4 linked regions of the Struthio camelus genome follow. The protein of the gene in region 1 interacts with the protein of each later gene in a pairwise test. Links are inferred from orthologs where the notes say so. Each region holds a gene or a part of one and is shown in the gene's direction. Other genes may lie near its edges. The genes, in order: SNCA, CYCS, SQSTM1 and USP8.

The links.
Region 2: the proteins of SNCA (region 1) and CYCS interact in binary tests that used the Homo sapiens proteins (3 or more experiments, as listed by UniProt). The link is inferred for Struthio camelus from reciprocal best matches to the Homo sapiens genes SNCA and CYCS.
Region 3: the proteins of SNCA (region 1) and SQSTM1 interact in binary tests that used the Homo sapiens proteins (3 or more experiments, as listed by UniProt). The link is inferred for Struthio camelus from reciprocal best matches to the Homo sapiens genes SNCA and SQSTM1.
Region 4: the proteins of SNCA (region 1) and USP8 interact in a two-hybrid assay, tested with the Homo sapiens proteins (2 studies listed by BioGRID, with this or other methods). The link is inferred for Struthio camelus from reciprocal best matches to the Homo sapiens genes SNCA and USP8.

What each region holds. Positions count from the first base shown.
Region 1 is NC_090945.1:13,020,945-13,028,399, reverse strand, and holds the start of SNCA (alpha-synuclein), read left to right. Parts: upstream 1-4,110; 5' UTR 4,111-4,493; intron 4,494-6,265; 5' UTR 6,266-6,285; coding exon 6,286-6,406; intron 6,407-7,455. UniProt on the Homo sapiens protein: Neuronal protein that plays several roles in synaptic activity such as regulation of synaptic vesicle trafficking and subsequent neurotransmitter release.
Region 2 is NC_090943.1:38,123,203-38,130,718, reverse strand, and holds CYCS (cytochrome c), read left to right. Parts: upstream 1-4,343; 5' UTR 4,344-4,474; exon of another isoform or gene 4,475-4,587; intron 4,588-5,662; 5' UTR 5,663-5,670; coding exon 5,671-5,839; intron 5,840-6,022; coding exon 6,023-6,171; 3' UTR 6,172-7,250; downstream 7,251-7,516. UniProt on the Homo sapiens protein: Electron carrier protein. The oxidized form of the cytochrome c heme group can accept an electron from the heme group of the cytochrome c1 subunit of cytochrome reductase.
Region 3 is NC_090954.1:7,034,109-7,041,741, forward strand, and holds the start of SQSTM1 (sequestosome-1), read left to right. Parts: upstream 1-4,385; 5' UTR 4,386-4,499; coding exon 4,500-4,677; intron 4,678-4,754; coding exon 4,755-4,850; intron 4,851-5,598; coding exon 5,599-5,828; intron 5,829-5,968; coding exon 5,969-6,125; intron 6,126-6,597; coding exon 6,598-6,687; intron 6,688-7,198; coding exon 7,199-7,443; intron 7,444-7,633. UniProt on the Homo sapiens protein: Molecular adapter required for selective macroautophagy (aggrephagy) by acting as a bridge between polyubiquitinated proteins and autophagosomes.
Region 4 is NC_090953.1:12,457,738-12,465,392, forward strand, and holds the start of USP8 (ubiquitin carboxyl-terminal hydrolase 8), read left to right. Parts: upstream 1-4,542; 5' UTR 4,543-4,708; intron 4,709-5,210; exon of another isoform or gene 5,211-5,485; intron 5,486-7,655. Other genes in the region: GABPB1 (GA-binding protein subunit beta-1), read right to left, coding at 580-582. UniProt on the Homo sapiens protein: Hydrolase that can remove conjugated ubiquitin from proteins and therefore plays an important regulatory role at the level of protein turnover by preventing degradation. Converts both 'Lys-48' an 'Lys-63'-linked ubiquitin chains.

The sequences.
Region 1 (7,455 bases):
TCTAGACTAAGTCCCACCCATTTGCAGAATGAAGAATTTATCATATTCATACTCTTTTTTTTTTCCTTTTGTGTCTCTTATGCTCCAATCTGAAATTTTTCAGAGGCAGCTATTTTGAATCTTACAGCTGAATGTTTAAATCTTATTTCTACTGTGCTAACTGATCCCTCTTGTCTTTGCCTCTCTACTTTTAACTAGCTGTTTTTATTATCCTGCAAGCTGTTGCTTTGCTTAGTACTAGAACAACATACTTCCTTTTGATAAATACGAGACAAAGAAGAAGCCTTACAAAGGCTAAGAAGCAGCTGTAAACCTCCAAGTTCTTCTTCATAGAGTTTTAACAAAATAAATCCAGTTTTATATTAATTTATCAAAAAGCAGGATTTTATTTTCATACTCACTTACATACCGGACAAAGAAAATCTAACTTCAAAGCGAGAAGATAACTTTTAAACAAGGAGCTCAATACTGGTCCTTTAGAAAGGCATTCTAATTTAGGGACTAAGGTTACTGGCCTGGGTAGTAGTGTTTCACACAGCTGTAAGGAATGATGAAAGAATGGCTTCCGACAAGCCCTAAAGTATATAAACTGCTGGGCTTGCCAACGTTAAAGTTGGTGTGTAGGGTGAGTCTGAGTAGGCCTTGTGTTTTTGTAACTGCTTTATGTGCTCTCCTAAAAGTTAGCTTTCTACCAATATGAAGCTTCTACTAAAGGGTAAGATGTTACACTGTTTTTGCTATGGTATCGCTGAGGCTACAGGAAATACTTTAAAAATACTTTGTGACAGTAAGGCTTTTATAGTAAGCAGGGTTTTATTTTAGTGGCAGAATGAAGGGTAGAACTTGAGCTTAAGCTTTCTACCATGTTATCAAAGGCTTCTCCTCATAGCTTCTGTAAACAATCATTGTGGGGGAGTATTTCATTGTGTGCTGCTCTATTTTTCTGTATTCATCTTTTACTGTTGTAGAAGGGTATAAGTGATGTAAGAAATACTACTAAGACTTTGACTCTAACTGTACACCTGGACATGGTGCAGATGTCCCTTTAAGTGAAGCAGGTCAGTTAGGTTCAAAATTGGCTACAACTTACATAAGAATACTTAAGGCTAGTGGCACTAAGTTTTATGCTGGTGATTTGGTCTTCTGTGGAAACTTTGTAAGAGGTAAGCATGAGAGAAACAGCAGTTATAGCACATAAGAAACTGTTATGACTTCAGTCAGATCAATATGCTTTGGTGAAAGTGGCAATACTTGCCACAAAAGGCAGTAGCCAACCTCTTTATAAAACTGAGCACTGAAGTTTAATAGTATAATGCTCTCCCCCCCCCCCCCCCCAAACTTAAATTGTTTTGGTAACTGACTTATGATCATTTGGCTAGTGTCAGTAATGTTATGCTTCTCACTAAAGCACCTTGGTGCTTCTTAAAGTAGCCTTAGAAGTTTCTTTAGTTTACCTTTAATTCTTAAGTTGGCAAAAGGGAGCTTGAAATTGAAAGTAGTTGCTATTTTATTATTTTGTGGAGGGAGTTTGAGGTTTAGCTGAGTGATTGGTTACAGAATGTCTAATTAAGGAGAATAGAAGTTTTAACTATTTCATTATCCATTTCCTGAGATGGCTTGTGTCTTTTAGCTAGCTATAGGGCATTTGTATATAACATGTCCTATATTTGTATATAGGGTGTTTAGCTGCCTCCCTCCTTGGAGGCAACAATATAACGAAAAAGGAATGTTTGAAATAGCTTGTGAAAATAAGTATGCTTTTGATATAATCTGCCAGGAACTACTCACTGATTAAAAACTTCATTGTTAAATTTGGTTGTCACACTGCAATGTGATGCACGGGTGCAGAGGAGTTCTAAGACAACAGAACTTCTTACTTCTCTGGGGCTCTTCAGGATTGCAGCTTAGCAGGGAGTTTGTAAAAACATATATTTGTACTTCTGAATCTTATCCTTTGAATTCCTAGAAAGTTTTTCTGGTTTCTGCTACTGTTACTTAAAATTTTAAAGTAGCTGAAATATAATGCTCAGTTAAATCTGTGACTGAAATAAAAATGCAGCTAACAATCCTGCTTGTCCTGTGACAAAAACTACTGATTTTCATTGACTTGTGTCTCCATAACTGCCTGTTTCCCAGAGTGAAGCATAAGCCAATTTTTACTGAGTTTCTACAACCTGTCTATTGACCTGGAACTCTACAGGTTATTTCTGAATCTTGACTTTTCTGACAGTGTCGGAAGGAGCTGTCATAAACGAAAAGATTAAGGCCTGGTAACACCATTTTCTAAAACAAAAATACCCTCTGTTAGTGTATGTATCTTCTATATATTGCTGAAATCCTTTCTCCAAGGCATCTAAAGTGTCTTATATACAAACATCATAAAATACTGATGATAGGCTGTGGTAGATGTTGTGATGTAGCAGAATCAGTGCACACTGAGTCTCAGATTGTCAACTGTATTTTGCAAAGAAGCCTTTATATTCTTGAAACTAATCTTGGAAAATTTCTGTTAGTGGAATGTTCCTTGTAAAAGGTACCTGGGAACTTAAGAACTATTGGTAAAAGGCCTAACTCTGTAAAGATCCTAGGCACTTCAGTATGTAGATAGTTCACACGGGGAATTTTCCAGCTGCTCTACTCTCCTTGACTCTGAAGATTCAACAAACTACATTCTAGAGCAGATGTATCAGTTTTGACATGTACATTTAAGACAGTCCAGAAAGAATTGACATATATGGTCAGTGAAAAAAATGAAGCTACTAGGTGCATTCCATACATGTTCTTTCCTTATGTCAAGTGCGTGTGGGGAACCCTGAACTCCAAGGGATTAAGCTTTTTGTTGAATATTAAGTAGAAATACTTAAATAACTGAGAATTAAATAATCTTTGGGAATTCTATTACTGTAAATAGCAATAATGTGGCAAGAAAACTAACTTCTCACATGTAGAAAGCATACCCCTTTGATCTACTGTCTAATAAATGATAACTATGTTCCTTTGCCCACAAGTTAGTTGTCTCCCTATCAAGAACGAACATTTCCTTAGTGTGAAGGAGATGAGGTACCTAATGTAATTACTATGCTTTTAAAGCCTTTCTTGAAGGTAGAATTATGAGGAAATGATTCATATTCTCTATCAATATCTTACATAAAGACAGTACACTGCTGAACACCTGATTAAAACTGGTAGCAGGATAAACCAAACAAGTTTTCTTATACAGTAGAGAAACATCAAGGCTTCTAAAGGAACCTTCCAGCTGCATGTTCAGAATGAAACTAAAACCAGGGGAGCAGCAAATTCCTACATAGGATGAGGAATGGAAGATGTTTCTTGCAAGTCAGATCGTTGTATTGGCTACAGCGTGTTCTGTCTGTCCTTTTGGAGTAGAATAAACAAATGGAGAGGGAAACTTTCTGTAGGTCATGCAGGATTTCAAACAGTACATGAACTAGTGTACTATGGCTGCAGGTCCATCTGCTCTAATACCTTGTCTCCTGCTGGTCTTGGCTTGTCATGCCTAAATAGGGCTACCAAAATAGAGAACAAGTCTGACAGCTTTCCCTTTACTGAGGAAAAAGTTTCATAAATGCATCAGATTGAGACATGAGTAGCAGTGGCTATGAAGTGTATGGTGGAGGATGCTAAGAGGGGCACAGGGATTGGCAGGAGCTAGGCTGTGTGTTTTGTCATGTTCCTGACTTGAAGTGCAGATTTCTTGTGTGATAGGACTAAGTCAAATTGCATCCTCAAAAGCATCAGTCTCTGCATAAAAAATGACCTGGGAACATAAATATTATGAAAACTCAGTGGCATTTAACTCTGAAGTCACTTAAGAGCAAGGATTTAGAAGTAGAGGAAAAAGTAGCAAGAGGCTTACAAAAAATTCCTAAGCCTGAATGAAGTGGAACATAGGTGGATTGCAACTGCCATCAAATACATACACTTCCAGGTGTCTAAAGACTCTGTTTTGAGCAGGTAGTGGGTGTGCAGAGCCACAGGTGAGCGAGAACCCTGGTCTCTCTTTTACTTGTCTTCCCCTCTGGATCTGCCTTGACTGGGGAGGGGGGGAAGCTCCCAATTTATCATGCCTCCAACTTCGTTTTCACTGACGAAGCACGGAGGTGGGTGCCAAAGATACGTGAGGCCCCTGACGCGATTCTCCCGTGGGGAGCAGGCGGCGGGGGCCGTCCCCCCGCAGCAAACCCCACCACAGGGTGGGGCGGGAGAAGGGGGGTGTGTGTGATGGGAGCCTCCCTCCGCCCCTACTTCCCTCCCTCCCGCGGTGCTTCTCTCTCCACCCCTCGCCCTGCCTCTCCCTCACACTCGCTGCTTGCCGGGCTGCCATCGAGGTGGCGCCAGGAGACCCGGCTCGCTCTCCCGCGCCTCAGGGATGTACTGAGAAGGGGGCAGCTCCCCTCGGGCCTCTCCGCGCTTCGCCCTTTTCCTCGCTTCAGAGCCTCCTCAGAAAGGGTCCGCGGCGGCGGAGCCCGGCGGTAAGTGGCGGTGAAGGGGGGGGGGGGGGCGCCCGGGGCGCTCCGGGGGAGGGGGGGAGAGGGCGCCGCGTGGTGTGGCAGCCGGGAACGTCCCTTTCCGTTCCTGTAATGGCTAGGGCTGGGCTTCGGTATTATATATAATATATATATATTTATTTACATACACACCTCCCATTGAACATCATTCTGGGGGGACGGGGCGGGGGGACGAAGTCAGGTGGTTTTGCCAGCTTGTCCTGTCTGTGTCAGGGGGAGCTCGTGGGTGCCCCGCTGGTCACGTCGCCCTGCTCTTCTTCTCACTAGGTGCCTGTCTATACGTGTATGTGTATATATATATATATATATATATAAAAAATATATGGCCACGTCGCCCTGCCCACTCTCTCTCTGAGTAGGTGCCTCCATGTACGCAGGTCACGCTGCCCTCCCTCCCTCTCTGTAGGTGCCTCTCTCTCTAAATATATATATATATATATATGTATAAATGTATATGCGGTGGCGCCGCCCACCTCCGTAGGTGCCCACGTACCTGTTGGCGCTGCCCCCGTGGCTGGGGACGTGCCGGCGGCCGTTGGGCGCGCGGCCGTTGGGCGACCGTTGGGTAACGGTTGGTTGGAAGCGGGCGGCGCGCGGGGCGGTGGGGAAATGGCGCCGCGAGCGGGAGGGTCCGGCGGGCTGGTGGTGATGGTGGCGGCTGCCCCTCTCCAACCGCTGCTCACAAGCTGGTAGAAAGCTGCCGCAGCCCAGGTGTTTCCCTAGACGTGCGTTCCTCCTACTCCGCCTTCAGCGCAGAGGAGAAAATAACGGGCGCTGATTCTTTTTTCTGTGTGGGTGGGGAAAGAAGAAGGAAAAAAAAAAAGGCGGTTGATAACTCATTTGTTGAAGGGAACTTGACTTTTTAGTTTTAATTTAAACGTAGTGCTGGGTTGCGCATCTGTCGCAGAACTAGTTTGCTAGCTTTTCTGCTTTAAACATTGCATATCCTTGCTTTTTTTTCCCCTCTTTACAAAATCTTTTCTCATTCGTGGTGCATGCAGAGAACACACAGAGAAACTCAGTTTGCAGAAGAGTGACACTGACTGTGCACAAAATGCTGCATACTGGGGGAAGAACTCAGCTCTTTTTATTTGCTGTAGGTCCTTTTTGGTTATAACAGCATTTTCTCCTAACAATAGCAAGTGAACCTTTGTCACTTAGGATTTTTTTTAAAGTTGGCAGTGTTTATGTTGCCTTTTTTCCTCTGCATGAGCTGATGTGGAGTGTCATCAAATCACGGGGCTGAATCTTGCAATCAGTACATGAACAGAACTTCACTTTGAAGGGAGCGGTGCCTTGGTAGAGGCAGTGAAAGCACTTGTCGTAGCAACGAATCCATCTTCCTATTGGCACTGCGTTATCCAACCCCTTTATTTATAGGTTTCTGTTGAAATTTCCGAACCCGTTCTTGGCTTGTGAGAGTACTGCTCTTGCAGTGCTGTTTAATTTGTTATGTGTGGCAACGTATGAGAAAATGTAAAGGAGATTCGTGTAACAGTCCTCTTTGTGTTTAGCTGTTGTATAGTTTATCTGAAATACTGAATGCTAGCTTAGTATGTACGTATTACTAGGGAAATGTGGATGAAAGCTACAAAATAGATGGGTGTAAATTATCTATAGTCTAATTTTTAAATAACTGATTCCAATCAATTTGACCAAAATTTTCCTTTTCTGAAAAAAGCAGAAAACCTCTATTTGACCTGTGTGTGTGTGGTGGTTTTTCCTCTCTTCTCCAGAGCTGTGTGATTCTGCAGCCATGGATGTGTTCATGAAAGGGCTCTCCAAGGCGAAGGAGGGAGTCGTAGCAGCAGCAGAAAAAACCAAGCAGGGTGTGGCAGAAGCAGCAGGAAAGACGAAAGAGGGCGTCCTCTATGTGGGTAGGTGAGCAGCGGAGATCATGCTGCTAGTCTGGTGTTCCCTGATGTTTGTGCTCATCTGCAAGAATGAAGGTTGGGTTCTCAGAGCTACTCTTCTGGGTTTTTCGTTCTTTCTTTTTTTAAAAAAGAAAGCTCATAGGAGAACCTTGGAAGACAAACAAGATGAGTTGAGCCCTCCTGGGTTTCGTTTCTTTGAAGCTGAACATTGGTTTTAAGCTGTTGCACTGTGCTGTCTGTGTTGCTACACTGTGGAGCCATATATGTAGCCCTATACAGAACAAGATGTGCATCATAGATGGTGCCTTACAGCACAGGAGACCAGCTGGCACTCTGTTCAAGAAGTATACTCCATTAAGGTTGGAGATGTGATTTTTTTTGATACAGTAAATGATATAAAAGCTAAAATGGAAAGAGGCTTCATAGAATCCTGTAGAACCTGTGGGTTTTCAGCAGTTTTTTCTTTCTTTATGAGAAGAAGCTTGAGAGGTTCACTCAGGAGCTGATCATAAACCATGCTGGCTGCTTTGTCTCGGAATAAAATGAAGTGGAAGGGAACGCGCTCATTAGGAAGGAGCCTGTTCTCTCTTTTCTCAGTTTTTAAGATCCCCAGCAGTAACATTTTTGTGTGGCAGTGTCATCTTGTCTTCTGAGATTACCCTCATGTTCAACACAACTGTACATCCATAGCTGCTTCTCTCTATGCCTCATTAATGAAGAGCTACTACAACTGAGATAGGGCAGGTAACAATGGAGAAAGTGGGGAAATATTGTGTAGTCTAGATAAGCCACTTAATTAACTTGGCACAGAGCCAGGGATGACATTCTGTGTAAATCTCAGATGAGTACTGTAGCTGTGTGATCATCATCTTTACTTAGCAGCAGGCTGTAGAGGACTATCTTGCAAATGCTGCCATGAAAAATTCCCAGGAAAAGAATCTGTCAAGATTATGAATAAACAGTTGCTTAAACACTTGTGGATCTGCCTCTCCTGTTCATCAAATTAAGTTGGGCTGTAGAAGAATGGAAAAGAAAATATACTACTACTTTGG
Region 2 (7,516 bases), on another chromosome or scaffold:
GAGAAGAGAAAGCTCAGGGGAGATTTTATCAATGTGTACAAATATCTGATGGGAGGGAACAAAGGAAACAGAGCCAGACTCTTCTCAGTGGTGCCCAGTGAAAGGAAAGAAACAATAGGCACAAACTGAAACACAGGAAAGTCCAGCTGAACATAAGAAAAAACTTTGCTTTACTGTAATGGTGGTTGAATGCTAGAATAGGTTTCCCAGAGAAGCTGTAGAGTCTCCATATTCTAAATCCACTGGACACAACCCTGGGCAAGCTGTTCTAGTTGATGCTTCTCTGAACCGGGGCAGCTGGACTGGACCATCTCCTGAGGTTCCTTCCAACCTCAATGATTCTGTGCTTCTACGAAATTTTTCACTCAGTAAGTCACAGCATTATAAGGTTGTGTGAGTGTTTCAGTTATCAAATATTTTGGCAACCTTCCAGCTGCCCACTGTGCTTTGCACCCTGCCTGAACTGGCTGGTCTCTCTTTACCTGTGCTACCTGTTTGCTGCCCTGAGGTGAGAAGTGTGCAATGTCCCACTTGAAATGTTAACATTCAATTGCACATGGCCCACTTACTTTTCTAATAGTTTACTGCAATGCCTGCAATAGTTTACAGGGTGTTGCCTCACCCTGTGCCTAACTGGAGCTGAGAACAACATCCTGCTTCCTCAATTTTCAGCCTCTCCCTCCTCCTGAAACCTCCTACAGTAGGAGGTTTCTTCCCTAGTTCCAGGCAGTTGCCTCCAAACTCACCCTACAAAACCACATGAACAGCAGATACAGGAAGAACTCTTGAGGTCCTCCTTCCTCTGCTAAGATCAAATCCTACAACTGACACACTGTACCCTAGGATGCAGAAAATATTTCTGTACCAAACTGCCCCAAGCATGTGATCTTCAAAGCACAGACAGGTGACAATACAACAATTCTTTTTAATTTGACAATAGCTTTTATCTTTTCACTGACGACAAATATGCATTGAATGCAATCCAAATATTCAGTTTAATATAGCTCTTTTCATTTATTAAAAAAAAAAACACAGAGATATCACAATGTTGGCTGAGACAAACGCAGAAAGCATAAATACAGTGCCACATGACATGACCACACACAGAGCTTAAAAATCCAACTAGGATTTGTTTGACAAAAATGCTACACAAAAGTGTATGTTATGGACAAATTTAGCTTTGCCTGAAGAAGGAGCCTAATATATGGTGACTCCAGAGTATCTCAGAGACTCTGCCTTTCCCGCTGTTCCAAAGAGTAGCATATTTATCTTCTCTAACACAGACTGTGCAAAACACAGCAAGTAGCAAAGATTTGAGAGACACCATTCATCAGCCATTTTCATCCGAGGACTCTTCAGTCTAACATGTCTTCTCTCTGTCTTCCTTACCTGTTCGGAGTATAGCTGAACAGCTTCCTGTCCTCTGTCCAAATACCCACTAAAAGAGATAATAAACATAAGACAATCAGTACCTTCCAAATTACAGGACTCGCACCCTAACAATGCTGAAAAGTGACCCTCAAAGCATAGGGTTCCAGCCCAGCCCAGCTGTATTCCTGAAAATCTATGGAGAACTACTCCTTCCTCCTATACAATTTCAAAAGACAATTAAAAACACGTGGTTCTCTGAACAGCCTCAGTACAATTCAGAAATGCTAATGGTGCAAATTCATCAGTACTGTTCTATGACTTGGTAAGATTTATGAGTCAGGGTATGGCAGTTTCTTAAAACCAGCATCCAGCACCGTGATTACAGACTAAATCACTGACACAACAACAGTTCTTACCACTGCACTGCTCCAGATTCATGCTTAGGTAACCCGCAAACGCATTAAGTCAAATCCTCTCCATTTGAGGTACCCGTTCTTACTGGTGAAAACTTATTTTCTAAATCAGCGTATGTTAGGCAGAACATCAGCTTCTACTGAACAATTTAAAAAGTATGCAATCCCGTGAATACTTTAATATCATTTATACCTGTCTAAAATGGTACTACATCAAAACCAGAGGCAGTCACTCTTAAAGTAGACATCTGAACAGTCAGGTATGAGGCAGAGAAGACTCTCTGCCTCTGTTCATTTTACAGGCTGATCTTTAGCATATTCACCTTTATGGCTGAAAGTCTCACAGATCTAGTATGTTCCCTGAGAACATTATTTTATTAAAGTTTACCAAAAATGGATTAAATTGTCTTGAATTAAGGCACAACTTTCAAAAATAGCTTTCCCAGAAAAATAAAAATAACATTGCTACAATGTCTCAACACGTGCCTCGGAAAGGTTAGCTGTAAAGCTCAACATGCAATGCTCCGCAGGAGCATACCTGCACTTGGAAGGCAAAACATACTAGAAATGAGAGTTACAAAGAGTCTGTGTTCTGTGAAGATAAGAAGGGGAGAACTTTTGAAAGAACGTCCGTGGGCTCCAGTCCACATCAAGTGCTCAAAGAAGCTTGCATCAGTCCTAATCAAGTGCTTAAAGAAGCTTAAGAATTATTGTCAATTCTTAAAGCAGCTTAGAAGGTGCTTTCAGCTCATTCCTCTTTTAAAGATAGAAGAAACCAGGGGTTTTATCCTAAGTGTTATGATATAAGTTTCATAAAGTTAGCTCCTAGAATCATATGAGACACTCAACCCTTACTTAAAAAATTAGTCTATAGCCCATACAATTGTGGTAAAAAGTCTAAAAACATAAGTCAAGCGCATCATGAATGCTCAAAATCAGATGGTGATTAAAATGAATAGAAATATACTTAGTTTTTACGCAACATCTCTTCAGCCAACCTCCTAATTTTGGGAGGTTGGCATGATTTGAATTTCGCGAAACAAAAGTCAAGATACCTATTTACAGTGGCTCAATTGCACATATATTACCTGGCTTGCCATAAAGTATATGAACTTAGCTATATATTAAAAGCAAAGTAGTTTTATTATAGTAAGTTTATAGTCAAGAAGATGATTATGTATATATGGTAATTGTTATAGCTTAGTATCATATTATGCATATACCTAGTGACGAAGTGTTAATAACTGGATGGACACATCTGTTTGATGCCGCAGACATGATAAGCAGTGCATAAAACATACACTCTCCAACTTATAAGGGACAATTGGCTGAATAATCTTATCAATTGCCAGCAAAATTTGACATCAGAAGAACCTTTGCTGTCTTTTTACCCTGTCCTTATTCCTTCATTCTTCACGTTGGCACTCCAGATAAGCTCTGCTCCACAACGTGGTAACAGCCATCCAGCTTTGTACATGATCACACATCAGTTCCAGCATAGCGCAAGAGCATGCAAAAAGATGTTACTCTCGTTCAAATGCCAGGCACTTCTGGGAAATTCTGTTACGCTGGCATTTTGTTTAATGTCAATAATTAGGGCAAATAGTTCACCTTTTGTGACGTTCTGCCTTTTGAACACTGGATATTACTACTACAGGAGGCTTTTTAAGAACTCTTCATCCTCTTTGTCAAGGACAGAAAGAAGATGGTGCTTACATCTGAAATTCAATATTCAAATCCTGTTTTAAATACTTGTAGTTTATTGATATAATTTTTTTCAAGCTTTACAACATTGTCCAACTTGCTGGGACAATGGGTCTGGGGCACCCTCCTCTTTTCTTAAGGTGGCACTTTCAATAACACTCTTAGCTTTTTCAAAACTCAAAGACTTTAGCATTCCACACGAGATCTAAGATACGGATGTGCTTTTGCCTCCTCCTCAGTTCTTTATGGTGGCACCTTCACTAACACGCTTATCTTTCTCAAGTTTGCGAGATTTTTAGCATCCTTTTGCTAACTGCGATATTTCTATCACTTTATTCTCCGGTTTCTCTTAAACAACTCTTTAAAATGCAACAGCCTCAAAGTAGGGGCTTAGCCCCTTGCTCGCCTTGACTTAAAAAAGAAACACGCCCGCACTCACGGTGATCGTCTCCTCAAGCTTTCGAAAGTGCCAGAACTTGAAACCCCCAGAGGCAACGGGCGGCAACGGCCGTCACAGCCGCGCCGGGGGAGGGGAGGGGCGGGGCTGGGCGCTCCCCCACCACGTCACGGTCGGGCCGGGCCGGGCCCCGCCCACCGCGCCGCCACGCGGCCTCCCGAGCCGCCCGCTAAGGTCGCAGCCTCCGCGGGGCGCCTCGTGACCCTTGCTTCGCATTCCCTTGTGCGCACGCGCCGGGGACCCGCCCCGCGCTCGTGCCTCCTGACGCTCCTTACGTATCAGCGTTACGTCTGATGCCCTTCCGCAAGGAGGAGGGGGGAGGGGGAGAGGGAAGGAGAAGGCAACCCGGCTCCCCCTCGCCGCAACCTACCCCGCTAGCCTCCAGCGCCGTGACGTCTATCTTGGCGGACGGGGGCGAGAGCCAATCAGAGGTCTCTAAGGCGGTCCTTGACTGGCTGCCGCGCTAAAACAGGGGCGGGCCGAGGCCGGCGTGGCTTGGTTGCAGCGACACCGGCTTACATAGGGCGGGGTACGGCGTGTCCTTGGGCTCAGTCGTCGGGACGGTGAGCGGGCGGTCGGGCTGGTGATCACCGCCGTGGGCGCGGCGCGGCGCGGCGCGGCGCGGGGCGGCCGGGCACGCAGGTGCGTGCAGCCGCCGGCGGGGGGCGGCGGGGAGCCGCTGCCAGCCAGCCAGCCAGCCAGCGGTTACCGTGGCTCGGCGGGACCGTTAGGCCCTGGGGGGGGGGGAAGGGGAGGGTTGGGCCGGGCCGGGCCGGGGCCGGGGCGCCCGCTGCCCACCTCCGTCGACCCAGGCGGAGGAGCCCGGCGTCGCGGCCTAAGCAGGCGGCCGGGCTGCGGCAAGAAGGTCACCGTGGGGCCTAGTGGCGAGGGCGTCCGTGTCCCGGGATGCCCTGGGGGGGCACCCGGGCCCGCTCGGGAGAGGTGGTCGCGCCGCCGGCCCCTTGCGCCCTTGCAGGGTGGCGGCGCCGGCCGCGGCCCTGGGGCCGTGTCAGGAGGAGAGGAGCAGCGCTCGCCGCGAGGCTGTGCCCGCGCGGCGGGCGGGCTGCCCGCCTCAAGGGCAGCCTCGGAATTGCGGTTGCCTTTGAGGGCTTGTATGCAAATAGCGTTGCTCCTGGCGGGTGCTGAGGAGGCATGCCGGCTCGTGGCGGGAGGCAGGCGGGCAAGTTGCTTGCCTGCCTCCCTTGGCTCCTTACTAGGTGGTGTGCTGGGTTCCTTTTCGAGCAGAAATGGAAAAATACACAGATCGTTAGTTTGTCCTTCTTACGAGTGTATCAGTGAGGATGATTTTTTTTATACAAGATTGTTCATGACTAGGGAACTGTCTTAATGGAGATATTGAAGCTATGTGACAGGAAGGGAAATAAATATTGCTGAAATAATTTCTGAAGGGTAGAGTGATATTAAATGCTGTAAAGCAATTACTTTGGGTGGGGGAAGGCTTTTCCTGCTGTTCAAGCATGATGTTTATCACCTTAAATATGTTCTGCTTAGTTCAGTGATTCTATGCTAATCTTCAAACCCAGGAAGTTTCTACCCAGAAACTCCAGACCCAGAAACCCTATCTGTGGGAAGAAACTCTGGAGATTAATGGGCTAGTGTATATGGTTTTGTAAACCAACAGGACCCTTTTAAGGCTTCTGTTAAATAGTTGACCTTGATGTTGTGACATTAACCTCTGTATATGTTCTCACCCTAGTACTGAAAATGGGAGATATTGAGAAGGGGAAGAAGATCTTTGTCCAGAAATGTTCCCAGTGCCATACAGTTGAAAAGGGAGGCAAGCACAAGACTGGACCCAACCTGAATGGCCTGTTTGGACGTAAGACTGGACAAGCTGAGGGCTTCTCTTACACAGATGCTAATAAGAATAAAGGTAAACTCAAAAGAGCACTTTTAAGTTACTTGGCACAAAAACAGCAAGCTTTCAGTGATAGGTCCGGAAGTCTGCCAAAAAGTAAAATACCATGGAGGACAAGAAAATAAATGTTGGGGGGGGAGGGATTTGTTTGCTTATTTTTTAAGGTCACTGTCTCTTTTTTTTCCTCCTTTTCGCTAGGAATCACCTGGGGTGAGGATACTCTGATGGAGTATTTGGAAAATCCAAAGAAGTACATCCCAGGAACAAAGATGATTTTTGCGGGTATTAAGAAGAAGTCTGAGAGAGCAGATTTAATAGCATATCTCAAAGATGCTACTTCTAAGTAAACTTTTATCTGCTGCCTTATTTATTTCACAAAGGAGATGGCAATGGAAATGTCTGTGATGGTTTTTAAACTTTCTATTTTTACATGTACTGTATCTAACCTTAAAATTTGCCTCACTCGCCAAATAATGTTGCTTGTGGTGGGTGGTTGGAATACATGCTTGTTTGGCAGCCATAACTTAAGGAAACCTTATGTAACTGGGTAGACATCAGTGAATACAATGTTCAGTCATTCTTGATCATGGAATTAAATGGAGGAAAAAAAATAAACATTTCCTGCCTCTTCATTGTAAAAAATATCAAGCGAGTCATTGCAAACAGCATAATAGCTTTGGCAGCCCACCTCTTCGTGGTTTAAAAAAAGTAGGGTGGGTTTTTGCATCCTTCCAAATGCATCATTTGTAACATTACCTGCAAGATAACAAAACGGTATTTTTCTAATCCTGACCAGTGCAATGTGTGGTTGTATACGTTCATCTGGCTAAAGCTTGGGATAAGAATGCAAGTTCATCTGACTTCATAAGTACTACCTGTGATATGGCAGTTGTACCAACCCACTTCTAGGGGAAGCATGTTGCCTGTTTATCCAGACTTTGAGAGCTGCATGCACCAGTAGAGCATAGACTATATCAGAAAAATTTTCAATTTTTGAAGTGTTGTTGAAACCCTTTGTTCAATAACTCTTCAGAACATACCTGTTCATAGCTTAATAAATGGAACAGAGAACTGTACTGTCCTGGAAAGATAAGTGCTGAACACTAAGCTGAATGTTACTAAATCTCACTTCAACAGGAGTGTTAACCTAAAATCTATTGTTACAAGCAAATTCTGCTGAAGGGGTGTAGGCAAGAATGCACTGGTAGACTAAAAGGAGGCTGTCTTCCTCTGTGTCTGTGCTTGCCTTGTGTCATTACTTTAGAAGGTTCTATTTCATGCAGTGTAAAATAGTGTGTTTTTAAAGTTCTAACTGCATCTTTTCATACTAAGTGAATTGTTAAGCTGAATGTATTTACTGTGTACCAGTGGCAAGGCCCAATTCAAAGAGTGATCAACATTGTAAATTAAAGAACTCAAAATCTTGTTTGCTGTATGTGTCTGAAATTTAGTGAGACAAAATGGGAGTGTAGAAAAAAGCTATATGTTTGGTTTCGGGTTTTACACCTGAAAAACACTTCTTACAAGAAAAGTAAAAGCTCAGCATGAAAAAAGTAAATGCTGATGGAGTTGATGTGAAAAACGAATGCAGTGAAGTTGTAAGGTAGGTTGAACTAGAAATAGAGAAGCCAGATTCTTCCACCGGTGTTCTCTTACACGCTGTTTCTACTGTGCTTTCCAGGCTGGGCACGG
Region 3 (7,633 bases), on another chromosome or scaffold:
GGGTCACAGCTGCTGGTGGGAAAGGCGCACGCCATCTCTCTGCCGTTCAAGAGTTCGGCGAAACGACGTGACGCAGTTTAGTGCATCGGATGCTCGGCGTTTATTTTCAGATACGCAAAATGTTCCTGACACTTGGGATGTGGGTTTATCGGCAGCAGAAGAGAAAAGGATAATCTGAATAGTTTCTCCAAGACAATTAATTACAGTGTTCTCCTAAGACAAAGCTTAATCTAATTTCAGCTTTTACACTTTGTCTTCATAAAGGTCTGAAGAAATGGAGGAACTTTATACTGCCATTGCACATCAAAAACCTTGGGCCCTGTTGGAAAAAGGTGGGGCTAAGCGAAATTGCCAGCGGTTGCAACTTTTATCTCAGACCGACAAAGTTCGCATTTACTCTTAAAGTTCCTCCCTTCTGCTTCAGTTTTGACATTTACTCTGTTTAAAAAGTAAGTTCTGACAGGCCTTCTGGGTGCTTTTGCCGTGCCAAGTTTAAAATGTGAACTGCAAAGACATAAAACCCCGATGGCGAATAAACAGAGAGAACGTGCTTTTTGAGCTGATCTCACGCTCTTTGAGCCGTTGACGTTGGCAATCCCGAGCCCGTTTCAGAAAGCAGGGCCTTCCACTGAAGGCAGCCTGATAGCAACCCCCGGGGCTGGAGGCTGTAACAAAAATTAAAAATAGAAAGCATACATTACTTCTAGATGCAAAACGTAACCCGGCTTTATAGCTGATTTAACCCGGCTCTCCCCAGAGCTCGGCTCTGGAGTTTGGCCCATCTGGGATCAGGTCACGCTCGGTCCGTCCCAGGGCTGATTTAAGCAAAGCCTGCTTGCTGTTTTACCCTTTTCATGAAACACAGTAACTTCATTTCCTGTTTGTTTTACACAGCCCTGCGCTTGAAGAGCATGATAACTTGGTTTACTCCGCTACAAACGTTTCCAAATGATGCCGGATTTCATTGCAGGGTGTTTACATCAGGTTTGCTCATACGCTCCGGCTTTAATTCGGGGCGGAAGCCACGAGTCACCTTTGCAGAGCAGCAGTCACCTCGAGCAGTCAGCGGAGGCTGCGAAAAGTTCCCCCTCGCTTTTGGAAACACGAGAGCCCTCCTGCCTGCGCAGCACAGCACGGCCACGATGTTTGCCCTGCGCGCCTGCTAAACAGAGGTTTTTTCCCCTACTTATTCCTCTTCGGAAAAAAGAGTCCTAGACTCTTCTGTGCTTAGAGCGCACTTCCGCGTGACACCACTGACAAAAGGTACTGAATGAGCTAACCTTGGGAAAAAACCTCAAAAACGGAGGACAGCTTGACCTTCCCTTCTGCCTGCGCTTCTGAGAGAGAAGCTTTTCCGCATCCAGTTCTCCAGAGCAAACTTTCTGGTCGTGACCCTCGCGCCTCAGCCCAGCTCCTACACACGCGCGTTCCTAAAACGCGCTGTAAGAGGCCGCTGAGGGGCAGCCGGCTCCGGAGAGAGGAGGCGGGAGGTGGGCTCGGGGGTCCGGCCGCTGCGCGCCCGCCTCCCTCCCGCCTGGGACGGGCGGTCACGGCAGGGAGGCGATCACGGGACACGGGACACGGGGCTGAGTCACCCGCCTCTCGCCCCCTCGGTTCCCCCACGCAGCCCGCAGGGCCCCGAAGGGGGATCCCAAGGCCCGACGCGTCGCGGGCCCCGCTGAAGCGAGGCTTTCGGCAGAAATCGCCTCCGCTGGAGAAGCCGCAGCAGCGGCGGCAGCAGCACCAGCAGCAGCAGCGGCAGCAGCCGCCGCCGCCGCCAGCAGGCTCGCAAGCGGAGAGGCGGCTGGCCGCCCTCCTGCGCCCCCGGGGAGCTTGCTGAGGCCACAGGGAGCGGGGACATGGGGGGGATGTGCAGCGATCGCGCCCGCGGAGCACCAATCCCACGCGATATTTTTAAACGCTTCCCAGCAGGGAGCGGGTGCAGAGGGAGCACCACGAGCTGTGGGGACGATCATTGCTCCTTTGTCATAGTTGTTTTCTTTTTTTTTAAACATTGAGTAGTTTATTTCTTATTTTTTAACATTGAGCCCTTCCTCCCTAACGTCAAAATTTGCAACTGTAACAGCTTTTCCTCCCCCCCCCCCCCGTCTCCTTTGCTGTTCCACCGCGGATAGCTGCCCCGAAACGCACAGAAAACGCGCAGAGTTCAGGCGAGCTCAAGCCAAACCCGGGGGGGGGGCGGGGGGGCGAGTGCAGCGGGGCCGGGGCCGCAGCCAGCCGCGGCGGGGGGGACGCAGCGGCGTTTCTCGGGGCCCCCCCGGCCAGCTGGGCCCCCGGCGCCGCGCTGGAGGGGGCGGCGCGAGTCACCGCTGCCCCGTGATCCCGGAGCTCAGCTAAGGACAAGGCCGGGGGGGGGGGGGTAAAGCTTTGTTTTCCGTGTGTTTTGAAAAAGTGCGTGATGTCAGGGGAAGGCGAGGGTGACTCAGCACGCAGCAGGCGCGAGGGGAAATTCCCTCTGGCTTTTGGCCCTTTCCACGTTTGCCAAGTGGCTTAAAGTTCACCCGGAGCGAAACTTGGGCTTCCGCGCTTAACGCGGTGACTCTCTCGAGAATTACAGGCGTCGACGTTAATCCGGAGACGCGACCACCTTGAAAGGACCCGTCAGCTTCGGAACAAACCGCTGCGGGATCGCGGCGGAGGGTGCAGCAGGGTCTGCACCGGGGCGGCGGCGGCAGGAGCTGCTGGGGCAGGACGCCAACTGGGCACCTACGGAAACAATTTCCCGACAGCCGCGTCCCTGGCTCCAAACCAGGGGGGTCCTCAAAGATGGGAGGCGACGGATGGGGCAGCGGGTCCCCGGCGACGCCTGGGGAGGCGGCTCGGACGGGCCGGCAGCACCCGGCGCCGCTCGGCCCGCGCCCGCCCGCCGCTCTGCTGGCTTCGTGCAACAACGTGCGACGCGTACGGTGATGTCAGGCCGTCACCCTTCAGCGGCGCTTTCAGAGATAAGACGCACGCGCGGCAACCGGGGGGAAGGGAGGGCGAGAGGCCTGCGCCTTCGCTTCGTGCCCAAACCGCTCAGTACTGAGTGCTGCTAACCGTGCTGAATCATTCGCCGCCCAGCGTCGCTTACTTCCTCTCCCGGTTAAACGTTAACTCATCGCTTCTGGTTGGAGAACCGGCCGTGAAATAGCTAGGAAGCAAACCGGGCCTTTGAAGTTAAAAAAAGGCAATTTTATCTACCCTGAACGCTGTTTTCCAGAAAATGCCTCGACTTCAGAATTGCCACACGTCTGCCAAACATTTATCTATGTGGAAGGGCAGCTGTTTCCCCATGTATCAGGTCGAGAAACAAACTCCCTCCCCATCGTGGAAAAGCAAACTTAACTTTCTCTTGATTTCAAAAGACGATAAATCATGACACAGTTTCTCCTAAATTTGTATTCTCTCAGACTGAGAAACATGTCGCTAACACTGAGGGCAGCGAGGCCCTTAGGTGAGAGGAAATTAACACCAACTAGGAACCTAATAGTCATTGATCCCTCTTGATTCAGTTACGCTTGGAAGGGGCAGATAGCGCTGTCGGCCAGCTGACTCTCCTGCGGCCTAAGAGGCCTGTCGACTGCATCTGATCCGCAGAAAACCACCGCTGCCAACCGGCTTGGAAAGTCCCCAGAACAGCATCCTTAATGTCAGTTGTGTTTATCCTCGTATCTTTATTTTTAGCCCTCCTCCCAAAAAAAAAGAAGGATTCAGGAAAGATTGTTAGCTGACACGTTATTGTTCCCCTCCAGGGCGGCGCTCCCAGCCGGGTCCCTCTGCGCCCAGCCCACCCCGCGGCGGTGGCAGCCGCAGGGCGGCGATGGCACCTGCTCAACCCCGGCAGCCGCGAGCACGGTTCCCCCGCGGGGACGCGTTCCTGCATCTCCCGCGCCCCCTCGCTCCCCGGAGGTGCTCCGAGGGCCGAGGATCCAGCCCCGGGCGCGGAAACCGCAGCTTCGGGGCCGGCAGCCCAGGAGCAAACTCGAGCCCCTGACGCTAGGTGCTGACTGCTGCGGCTGCAGGTGGTTTAACGGGGGGGGGGGGGGAACGACCCCTTTGCATCGGCGGCAGCAGCCGGGGTCTACCGGAGGCTGCGCGGCCCCGGCGGGGAGGAGGCGGCTGGCCCTGGGGGTGGGCCCGGCTCCCGGGGGTTCCCCTGCTAGCCAGAACCCGGCGCCAGCCTAGAACCGGGGCACAGCCTGCCGCTGGGGGGAGGGGCCGGCATCTGGGGCGAGCCTAGAACCCGGGGGCGGGGACAGGGGCGGGGCCTGGAAGCGGGGGGGCGGGGCCTGGAAGCGGGGCCAGGAATCTGAAGAACGTCTTAGACGCTAGGGGCGGAGCCTGGGCGCCAGGGGCGGGGCGAGCTGCGGGGCCCCCCCCCCCGGCCCGGCGCTATAAAGGCGGGCGGGTGGGCGCCGCCCCGCCCGCCGCGCTGCGCTCTGCCCGCTCGCTCGCTGGCCCGGCTCGCCGACGGCAATTCCTGCTGCGCCACAGCCATGGCGGCTCTGACGGTCAAAGCCTACCTGCTGGGCAAGGAGGAGGCGGCCCGCGAGATCCGCCGCTTCTCCCTGCCGCCGCCCGCCCGCTACCAGGCCATCCACGACCGCGTCGCCGAGCTCTTCCAGGGGCTGCTGCGGGCCGGGCCGCCGCCCGCCTTCCGCATGCACTACAAGGGTGAGCGGGGCCGGGGGGCGGGGGGCGTCTGGTGCCACCCGGCCGAGGGGTCTGACGGCGAGTCCCGCTCTCTCTAGATGAAGACGGGGACCTGATCGCTTTTTCCAGCGATGAAGAACTGGAGCTGGCCCTGCCCTATGTCCAGGACGGTGTTCTCCGCGTTTACATCAAAGGTAACGTTTTTGGCCCTGAACAGGCCACCCGCCCCGTCCCCGGGGGGCCGGTGTAGCCCGCAGCCTCTGGAGGAGGGGCTGAACGAAGGACAAAGTAGGAGACCCCTCTGCTGAGGTAAGGTGGACAAACTTACCGGTTTCCTCCTAGCCCTGTAGTCTCAGCTGGTCAGAAAAGGCCATTTTAGTTGTGCTGGCTACCTGGAAACACGTGACTGGCACTGATCTCGTTAATGTTAACAGTGATATGTCAAGAAGCTGAAATTGCAGTCCTTTCATCAGTGCTTAGTTGCCCCCTACTGCCTTGTGTTGATTTAGATACCTCCAGAGCCTTGTCCACAGTCTAAGGAGTTAAACAAGCTGTCGCTGTTGTCCCCATTTGCATCTGTTATGTCTCGTGGCATTTCTTAGATCCCTCTTATGAAGCCTTTTGTCTGGACGATGCCCAGGAAGGTAGGGCAAGAAGCCAAACGGAGTAGCGCGCTGTTAATCAAATGCAAACATGGAAAGAGAATCTATTAAGGATAAGGCCTGCTCAGACCAAGGAGCAGGTATTTTGGTGAAACCACTTCACTCTTGGTTCAGGTTCTCTTACGTGCCCCCGGCTTGTGTTTGGCAGCTAGCATAAAAATAAACTGACCTAGTAAGTCAATCCTGCTGTAACAAGTGCTGTTTGTTTCCTTCTCCCCTGCCTGATTCCCAGCCTTTAAATAGTAACCTGGTTCTAGACACAGTCTCCTTTCCTTAACAGAGAAAAAAGAGTGCAAGCGAGAACATCGTGCACAATGCAGCCAGGAGCCTCCCCGTGATATGGTGCATCCCAATGTGATCTGTGATGGCTGTGAAGGACCAGTGGTGGGTGCTAGGTTCAAGTGCACTGTCTGTCCAGACTATGACTTGTGCAGCACCTGTGAGAGTAAGGGCATCCACAAGGAGCACAACATGGTGATGTTTCAAAGTCCACTGCTACATCCGTTTGAGGTGAGCAAAATCCTGTTTGCTAATCTCCCTCCATAGCAGAAGGATTTTCCCTGAAAGCTGCTAAACCAAATCAATTCCTTTAGTTTCAGCTGCTCGTAATCTTTGTATGAACACAGTCACATGAACATTACTCTTTCCAGTGGCTTCCCCGAGGACGTTGGCTCCGTAAGATGCGGCATGGTGTTCCACCCTTCCCATGGATGCATCGCTGGGGATATCCTGTTCCTCCAGCTCCTTGTCAAAACTCTGAACAAGCCCAAGCCAGTGCTGCAGCCTCCAGTCCACCCACTGAGCAAGGTAAGAGGAGAGGCTCTGGTAAACAAAGGTGGTGGTGGAAGTGGCGGGGTAGATGAGGCTTCTGCAGCATGGTGTGGAATTGTGGAATCTGGGTGGAAAAACACTGAAACTATTTGCTTAAAATAATTAGCACCTTCCAGGGCAGAGTAGGATTGTCTTAAGGCATGCTTGGGCCCATGCAATAGAGGAGGATACAGAGATACTACTTGAGATCGTATCAAGGAGAGCTATGTTAAATCAAGCTCATCACTACTGTGCTCTAGACGTGCCTCTCGCAGCATGGCTAATGAACTAGCTCTGGAACAGAAAACCAATGACAAGAGCCTTGTTAAGGCTCACGTCGCTATACTGCCTTTCTTGTGCAGTGTAGATAAGCAATAGAAAACAAATACGGAGATCTCTTGAGGGATATGCTCTATAAATGCCGTCTCCCCACTGAGCTGCTGTGTGCTAACAGAAACTGTTTTTCTAGAAGCTTCTACTAACAGCCAGCCTCAGGACCCCAATGTCACCTTCTTAAAGAATGTTGGGGAGAGTGTTGCAGCTTTTCTGAGTCCCCTGGGTAAGTGACTTCCGGTTTGTCCATCCCTGAGACTGGCTTTGTGTGGCTCCTTTTAACAGGAGCAATGAGCTGTTGTGACTGATACCTGATACCTCATGCTGCCAAGCCTGAAAACCTTAACTTATTCCCTGTCCTAAAAACGCCTAGACTTAAAACATCCACTTAATACCCTTCCGGAGTCCCCATTTGGAAGGAAATGAGGAAAGACGATATGTTTTGACTGTATCATGAAGTCAGAGATGACTCAGGGCTTTGCCTTGCTTATATGGATGTGTACAACTTCTGCTTTGACCCTCTAAATGTATGGAGCACTTGTCCCAAGAGGAAGATGAGGCTGTCTGCTGGTTAACTCTTCTTTGTTTTAAAACAAAAGTTTCTCACTTAATTCCTGCATGTTCCATAGGAAACTGTAGAAATGCTAACGAGTTTAGGCCAGGATTAGCAAAGGCTCTTTCAGGGCTCAGCTTTGGAAAAAAATCTGTAAAACTCTTCCTCTCAAATGCTTTTATAGGTATTGAAGTTGATATTGATGTGGAACATGGAGGACAGAGGAGCAAAGTGACTCCTGCTTCTCCCCATCAAGAGAAGAACAGTGCTGAGCCCAGCAGCAGTACTGTTGACCAGAATAGTCAGACCAAACCAGACTGGAATAGCACAGATCCTGCTACAGAAGTGAGTGCTGTTGCAGAGCAGATACAAGACATGATGATAGATCCTCTGCCCACACAAATGGAAGAAGGAAACTTCCAGTCCCAGGTACAAGAACCACTACATGCATTTAATATGCTGTGCATGGTGGGGCTGAATATTAAGATTTTAGCCAATTAAGTGATTAACAGTCTCTTTCTGCTTCAGAGCATTCAGCTGCTTCTGTGCTGGGACTTAACTGTGGGTGTACCTTCTACTATTAAAGGCAGATAGTAGGGACATCTATCCTACCTGGAAA
Region 4 (7,655 bases), on another chromosome or scaffold:
CCCGCGCCCGGCGCGGCCCCTCCGCCGCGCAGGCCGCGCTCGGCGCCCCGCGGCGCGGCCCAGGCGGGCGGCGGCGCGGCCGGCGCCCCCCGCGCGGCGGGGTCCCCGGAAGGCCGGCCAGCGCGCCCGCTCTCCCCGACAGGAAATCCTGGCTGGGCTGGGCGCTGCGGAGGGAGCCGCGGCGCCGGGTTCCGGGGGAAGTGGAATTATTTTTTACCAGCGAAGAGATCAACTTCCACATCCGGTAACAGGGCCCTATACAAAGGCGCAGACTGACCTGGAAAAGCTTGGCCGGCCCGGGGGGGTGGGGGAGAGACGGGGCGCGGGGATGGGGGCCTTACCGTGCTGCCGGCCCGGCCGCCGCCGCCCGCGACAACAGCCAGGGGCGCCGGAGGCCGCCGCTCATCGGCGCCCAAAAGCCCCACACAAAAGTCCCCGCTGCGCCTGGCGGAGGGACACGGCGGGCGGAGGGGAGGGGCGCGCCGAGCCCAGCGCTGCCCCGCCGCCAGCGGGGCCGGGCTGCGCGGGGCCGCGCGGGGCCGCCGCGCCGGCAGCGCTTGGCGGGGCGCCGGCACTTACCATGGGGCGCAGGTATTATCTTATTACACAAATATCCCCGACAAAAGGGGCTCGGCGGAGGGATACGGCCTCGGCGCCGCCTGCCGCGCATGCGCGGCGGCGCCGGGAAAGGCGGGGGAAGCGGCGGCTGGAGGCGCCCGCCATGTTCTGTGGCGCTTCCCGCCCGGCGGGGGGCAGGGCGCTGGCCGCCTGCCGCCGGCCCTGACGGGGCTGCGGCGGGTGGCCGCGAGCTGTCACGGGGCCACGGGGGAGGGCGGGAGCCTCCCTGCGAGCAGTTTACGAAAGAGGGAAGGGGGGGCCCTGCCAGTCCTTAAAAGGGGTCCTGTTAAGGCTCCCTTTTGCCGCAGGGGCAGCTTTGACTGCCCTGTGGCTGCTGGGGCTCTGCCTGTGCTCCCGGGCCCTGCTGCCCTGGCTGACCTGTCTGAGCAAGGTTTTTAGCCACGCTTTGGGGTCATAAAGACAGGACCTGGTGTGGGTGACAAGTCGCAAGTGATCCTAAACCATCACTGCCCCTGCCTGTGCCAAACAGCGCTGGCCTTGACCTCAAACTCACGTCGATCCTGATAACCTCAGTGCACGAAATGTTTTTCTGAGATTTCTTTCAACCAAGCTGCAAAAAGCTCGAGCTGGGATTCCCCACAGAACTATTGTGTCAGGCAGCCTCCAGTACTGCTGTAAAGGGTAGATCCCCTGACCTACATCCTTCAGGAAAGGGATCAGTCACAGAACTCTCCTTTAGTTGTTTTTGGAGATGGTCAGGCCACCTAGATAATTAGGGGAATATTTGTCACAACGATGTGCTCATAGCCATTATTTTTTGCCCTTGACTTCCCTAAATGTCTTTAAAGAAAATGCAGATAACGAGCTTGCAAAGAACTAACGTTGCCTCAGAAATGCTACAGGACTGAATCCTCTACTCACCACTGGAACTGATCCGTTTAGTGCGGGACAGACTGTCCCACACCAAGTTCAGAAACAAGTTGACTTTTCCTGCTCCTACATGGGAGGGAGAACTGAGGCCTCCTGTCTGAGCGTACGGGCTGTGCTCACGCTGCTGCCCGCTGTGTCCACAGGACTCCGTCCAGTTCTCGTGGACTTCTTGCTTTGGGTTAGGTTAACGGGACGAATTCTCCACACGCTTTTTGGAAAGGCAGTTAAATCCTCCTTTATAGGTCACCTCGCTCTGGGACCTGTTGACATGTCCGAGAGGCGGTTTACTTATTTTTCTAGGACTGATCAGCCAGAAGGGGGCACTAAAAACAAGTTGAAACCTCGTTCTTGCAGCTTTTGCCATCAGAGTAAAGAAACTTTAGCTCCAAAATTCATTACATCTCTTTTCCATTATTGATAAGTGTTTTGTGCCTCTAAACAAAAGCATTTCCCCTGGCATATTACGAGTTGTCATTTACGCAGTAGCAGTTGATTATACAGAAAACGTTACTATGTCCTCACAGGTGTGCAGCAACCAGCAGGAATTTTTTGTGGTCTTGGCTGCAGTAGTATGGAAAAAATGAAATTATCTGTATCACAGAAAATCTTTCATAGAGTTAGGAATGCAGTATACATTTCGTTAAAGTTCCATTAACACCGTATGTGAGTTTTCATTATCATGGGTACAACGTCCATCTTTGAAATAGTAATCTCTAATGGTATTTTCATTTGACAGAATTCATCAAAAGTACATTTAAGAGAGAGACATTTGATGTCTAATATAGGCAAGTCAAAACACAGTTTGCATCTGTGAAGTATGTTGTTTCTTTTCCTTTATTTTATCCAGTCATGTGAGAATAATTTTTAGGTCTTGTTAACCAAATAATCTAACAAACACATTCTGATTTCTGCTGTTTTAAATTCCTTTGTTTATTTGTTTGGTACTGCTACACAGTAACATATGTGCTGATAGGAAAATGTGTTTCAACCTAAGGCAACACCTAAGGCAGCATGTTATAACACAGTCAGCATAGTAGCATGTTCTAACAAGTTCTTGAATAAGGTAAAACTAATTGCATAGGCAGGTCCTCCATGATACCTTTCTATATATGGTTTGGTTTTGCCCGTACAAGTAAGACCAAAAGACCTTCTGACACAATTCCTTCATATAAGTTAAATATTAAAAGGGACACTGAGCCCATTTTGGACAGCAGCTAGTATGATACTCAGCATTAATTTGCACGCTTAGGACGCAGTCTTTGACATCAGGGAACTTAAATCTTTTCTTGTTGCTATCATAACTTTCTTGCATGACTTCCTACCGATCTCTCCTAAAACAATTGGAGCAGTTCTGAAAAAAGTATTGTACAAGACCATAGTGTTATTAATAGCATTCAATCCTGTTGAATGTTGTTAGAATATTTCAACTCACTTTGATATTAATCTCTATGAATGCATAATATAGGAGAAGGCATAGAGCTGTACTTAACTTGTCCCAGGAGCTTTTGCATATCTGGTCTGCAAAGTAGAGATGGAGGATATTATTTGAGCCTTTCATGATACCTGATACCAACCAGCATTACAGTACCATGAAGTATTGTGATACGATTCAGCCTTCTGGACAATTACTCAATAGAGTTTTGTAGAGTTTTGGAGGGTTACATGAAGACAAGCATCCTTCTCCTTCTGTCCATCTTCGTTAACTTCAGTTTCCCAGCCCACCTGCTCTTCCTGAGGGAGAGGGGGATCTCCCCACCAGCTTCATTCTATGCTGGATCCTGCAGCACAAAACGGTGTTAGCACCCACTCTTCTCTCCCCACCTCTCTGAGCACAGATGCTCTTCCCTGGCCCTGTTCTGCCCCAGCACTTTGCAGGAAAGACCACAGCCCACCTCCATCATCTCTGCCCCTCCGCTGCTGAAGGAAAGACGCAGTGCAGATCGCACCGCCCAGGGCTTGGCGGCAGTGCTGAGGGGGTGCACAGCACTAACCTCACAGATGCTGCAATAGTATCCGCAGCTAATATTTCGTTATTGTGGATCTTTAAAATCATACTTACAGTATCAGTATGTAACCCATTGTTATGGCAAAATGGTATGTTGTGGATGCCGTATATGTGCACACTTCACACAAAGGATTACTTTGCCAGTCTCTGCAAGCATTAAGTGATCTGAGCTTGAGCATGCTTCAAGGATACACTATTAAAAGGCATGCTGAAACAAGAAACGTAAACGTGTGAAATACTGGTAACAGGCCATCTTCTCTAGTCTACAAGGTAGACTGAAAAAAAAAAAAACCAATAAATGGCCAAGGGAAACTGCTCCAGTGCACAAGATCTTTCCATTGGCAAAATCACAGAATCACAGAATGGTTGAGGTCGGGAGGGACCTCTGGAGATCACCTAGTCCAACCCCCCTGCTCAAGCAGGGTCACCTCGAGCACGTTGTCCAGCATCGCGTCCAGGCGGGTTTTGATTATCTCCAGGGAAGGAGACTCCACCACCTCTCTGGGCTACCTGGTCCAGTGTTCAGCCACCCTCACAGGAAAGAAGTTTTTCCTCGTGTTCAGACGGAACTTCCTGTGTTTCAGTTTGTGCCCGTTGCCGCTTGTCCTGTTGCTGGGCACCAGTGAGAAGGGTCTGGCCCCATCCTCTTAACACCTTCCCTTTAGATCCTTGCACACATTGATCAGATCGCAAAAACGGAGCAGCAGATTGCAGTATCTTCGTTACATTCCCCCACCGCTAGGCAGGTAGGGGCAAGACGGGTAACGTGGCGGGACACCGCGTCGTCCTCCTGCCTGCGTGAGATCTCGACGACCCGACCCGCCCCACCGACCGCCACGGGAACCAGCCGCGGCAGCACCCCCTCCCCTCGCTGCTCCCAGCGTTTCAAACCCCGCGGCACGGTCAGGCCGGCACACGCTTGCCGCCCCTGAGGTAGGCGTGAGGTGCGGCCGCCGTCGCGCTCCCCTGCCCCGCCCCGCCCCGCCCCCGGCCGCTCTGGCGGCGCCGCCGCCGATCCCCCCGCCCGCGCAGGGCGGCGGAGAGTCCCCGCCCCCGGGGGGAGCGGCGGCCCGGGGCGGGCGCTGCCGCCGAGTTCCGCCTCCGCAGCCATGGCCGCGTAGCGTCTCCTCGGCCGCCGCGCTCGGACATGGCCTGCCGCGGGCCGGCGGGCTGAGGCAGCGCGATCCCGCCGCGGTGAGTGCGGGAGGAGTGCGGAGGCCGGGCGGGAGGCGGGCGGCCGGGGGGGCGCCCTTGCGGGGGAGCCCCGGGCCCGGCGCCGCCGCGCGGAGCGGAGCCGGGGGCGGCCGAGGGCGCGCCGCGCTGCGCGGAGGCCCGGCGGGTGCCGGCGCTGCCGCGAGCCCTGCGGCCCGGCCGCGCCGCGGTGACCTTGGGCAGCCCGCAGCCCCCGGGGAAGAGCGGGCGGGGCGGGAGCGGTGCCCGCGCCGAGGGCCGCGGCGCCGGAGAAGCCCTGGCCGTGGCCTGGCGCCGGGCCGCGGCGCCCGTTACCGCGGGCCTGGCGCGGCGCAGGGCTGCCAGCCGGCTTTAACCTGTTCGTAACCGTGCAGGAGCGTTAAACCTCGCCTTCCCCTCCCCCGCTTTCCATTACCTACGCTGCTCGTGCACGTTGGGCGGATTTCAAGTAGCTTTTTAATCTAAATAAAGTGACGCTGCTTTTTTTTTTCTTTTAAAAACGTAGATTGCTTAACTCTCAAACTTCCCCTATAAAACCTAACCTTTTAAAATAACTTCGTCGTGAACTACCCTCCTCCTCCCCACCCCGCAGAAGTCAGTGTTAGTTGAACTGTTGACTGTTGGATCAGCAAACGCTGTCAGAAACGATCTTGCTACGACGCTATGAGAGGGGTCCCAAAGCTTTGCCGCGGAGGTCGTTCGTTTCAAAACGGTACGTGGCCCAAGACAGACCCACGCTGTGCAACTGCTACGATGACTGACAGCACCCAGCAAACAGGCGTAAGTTTAGGTGCTCCGGGGCAGCGTGCTGGCCGCGCTAGGAGGGGCCCCAGCGATTATAATCTGCCTCTGCGCATTAAGTTGTAGGACCGAGGTCTGTAGCTTTAACAGTACGAGAGCCTGCAAGAAATGCATATGGCTCACAGAGATAAATGTACTGATTGAATTTTAAGATGCAGTCATGTTTAAGTGCTGTATCTCTAGGTTAATACTGATATTAAGAAAACCAACCCCCTGTGTACAGAATACAAGTAATAAAACTTAATTGCAAAAGAACTGAAAAACTTCATGCCTGTGAGAAAGCCACTTCTTTGCTGAAGTCTTGGACACAAAAATAAGTGCAATACTTTATTACATACCTGAATTGATGGGTGCACAGTACTTACCATGTCAGTTCAGACCGCCTTAGCGTGTGCTACTTGCAACATAACTGCTTCTGTGCGTTGTTCTGGCTATGGTCATTCCACTTACAGGTTACTCATATCCTTAATAAAACAGTCATAATAATTAGATGTAGCAAAACCTGTTATCAAGAGGTATGTTTCTCTGTCAGTGTAAAACTATCCATTTTAAGTATTTTGAATGGCCATCAATATCCACGCATGATTTCCCTTGTATTTTTTGGATATCCACCTTATTTTCAGTGCTCTTAAGTATAAAAAAGGAGATGGAGACAATGCTTCAGCCATGGTTTAGGATAAATAGATCCAGACTTTGATCTTCATTTTCAGGAAGAAGGTTGGTAAACATGAAACAGGTCATTCCCACCTCCTCACAGAGTTGATTAATAGTAGATTTAGGTATTATGACTTGAATCACTTCTTGCGTTTACGGTTTTATGATCCAGTTTTCTCCTCTTGCTGGGGAGGGAACTATTCTCTTTCCCTTGTGGATGTATGAAAGAGCCACACGTATTATTTGGTGGGTTCACTTACGCCTCGGTTTTGCCGTTGTATTGCTACGTTGATCAGAAGCGACGGGGAAATGGAACGCTCGCAAAAGCGAGCGTAACCTAATCAACGCAGACTGGACCAGCAACAGTTTCTCCTGATTAAATTGATATGAAATTCCTGATCAAAAGTACAGTTCAGTTGCTACTCCTCTAGTGGAAACAAACACAGATGCAGTATGTACTTCACAGTAGTTGGTCTTTCTCCGTGCACTTTGCTGCTGTCTGTTTACTACTCCTGAACTTCATTTGTGCAATTTATTTTGCTAGAGGAAGTATTGAGACCAATAAAATTAGGAATGGGATATATGCAAAAACTTAGGTTCAAAATCAGCTGCTTATATGTATATATAAAGGAGCAGACTTTGATTCTGAAATCCTAAAGTCTTCCCAACACCTACTCAATTCTGACAGGGAACAGAGCTCATTCATTTGAGGTAGCAAATGCTAAAGGGTAAAGGCTAGCAGGCCAATAACAAGTTTCTATTACATGGAAATGAATTGTCAGTAAATAGCTACAGAACTTGACTTCAAAACAATAATCAGAATAGAATGTCTGATGACAGTAAGATAAAAAGATGAGACCCACAGTGGATAAAAGGAAGTGAGAGAGTAGTTGGAAAAAACTTTTGGAAAGTAAAAGGAGAAGTGAGAGTAGTTAGCAAAAGTTTCTATTGAATCTTAGAAGCAAGGAGGAGTAAGTGCAGTGAATGAAGAAACTCGCGTCCGAGTGCGAAAGTGAGCAGTTCTTCTGGATTTCAGAAGATGATGATTCTGGTGCCTGGCCCTTACCCATCAGATGTTTCTTGTGTCAAATACAGACAGTTTGTTTCATGAACTGGTTTTTCTCGCACCGATTTCTATAAGATTACTAGCAGTAAGGCGGCAGCAAACTGCAGTTCTTTAAGAAGTGGCTAGAGACTGGTATGAGGTGAGGAGGAGGGAATCTGGGCTTATGCTAAGAGACAAGGAAGAACTTGTTGATGAACTAGAATGGATGTTAGCTGCCATAGGGCACCCAGCCTATGGCTGTACGCTTGCTCAGAACATACAGCAACAGAACGATTTACTACTGCTTAGGAGGAGAGCGAGGGAGAGAAGTGGGAGGAGGGGGGCTCATGCTGTTCTTGAATAAGTTAGCCTATTACAGTTCTCAGGTTTTGTTGTTGTTTTTTCCTTCTAATACCTAGTATTTTGGGCCCATTGCTTGTCTTGTTCATT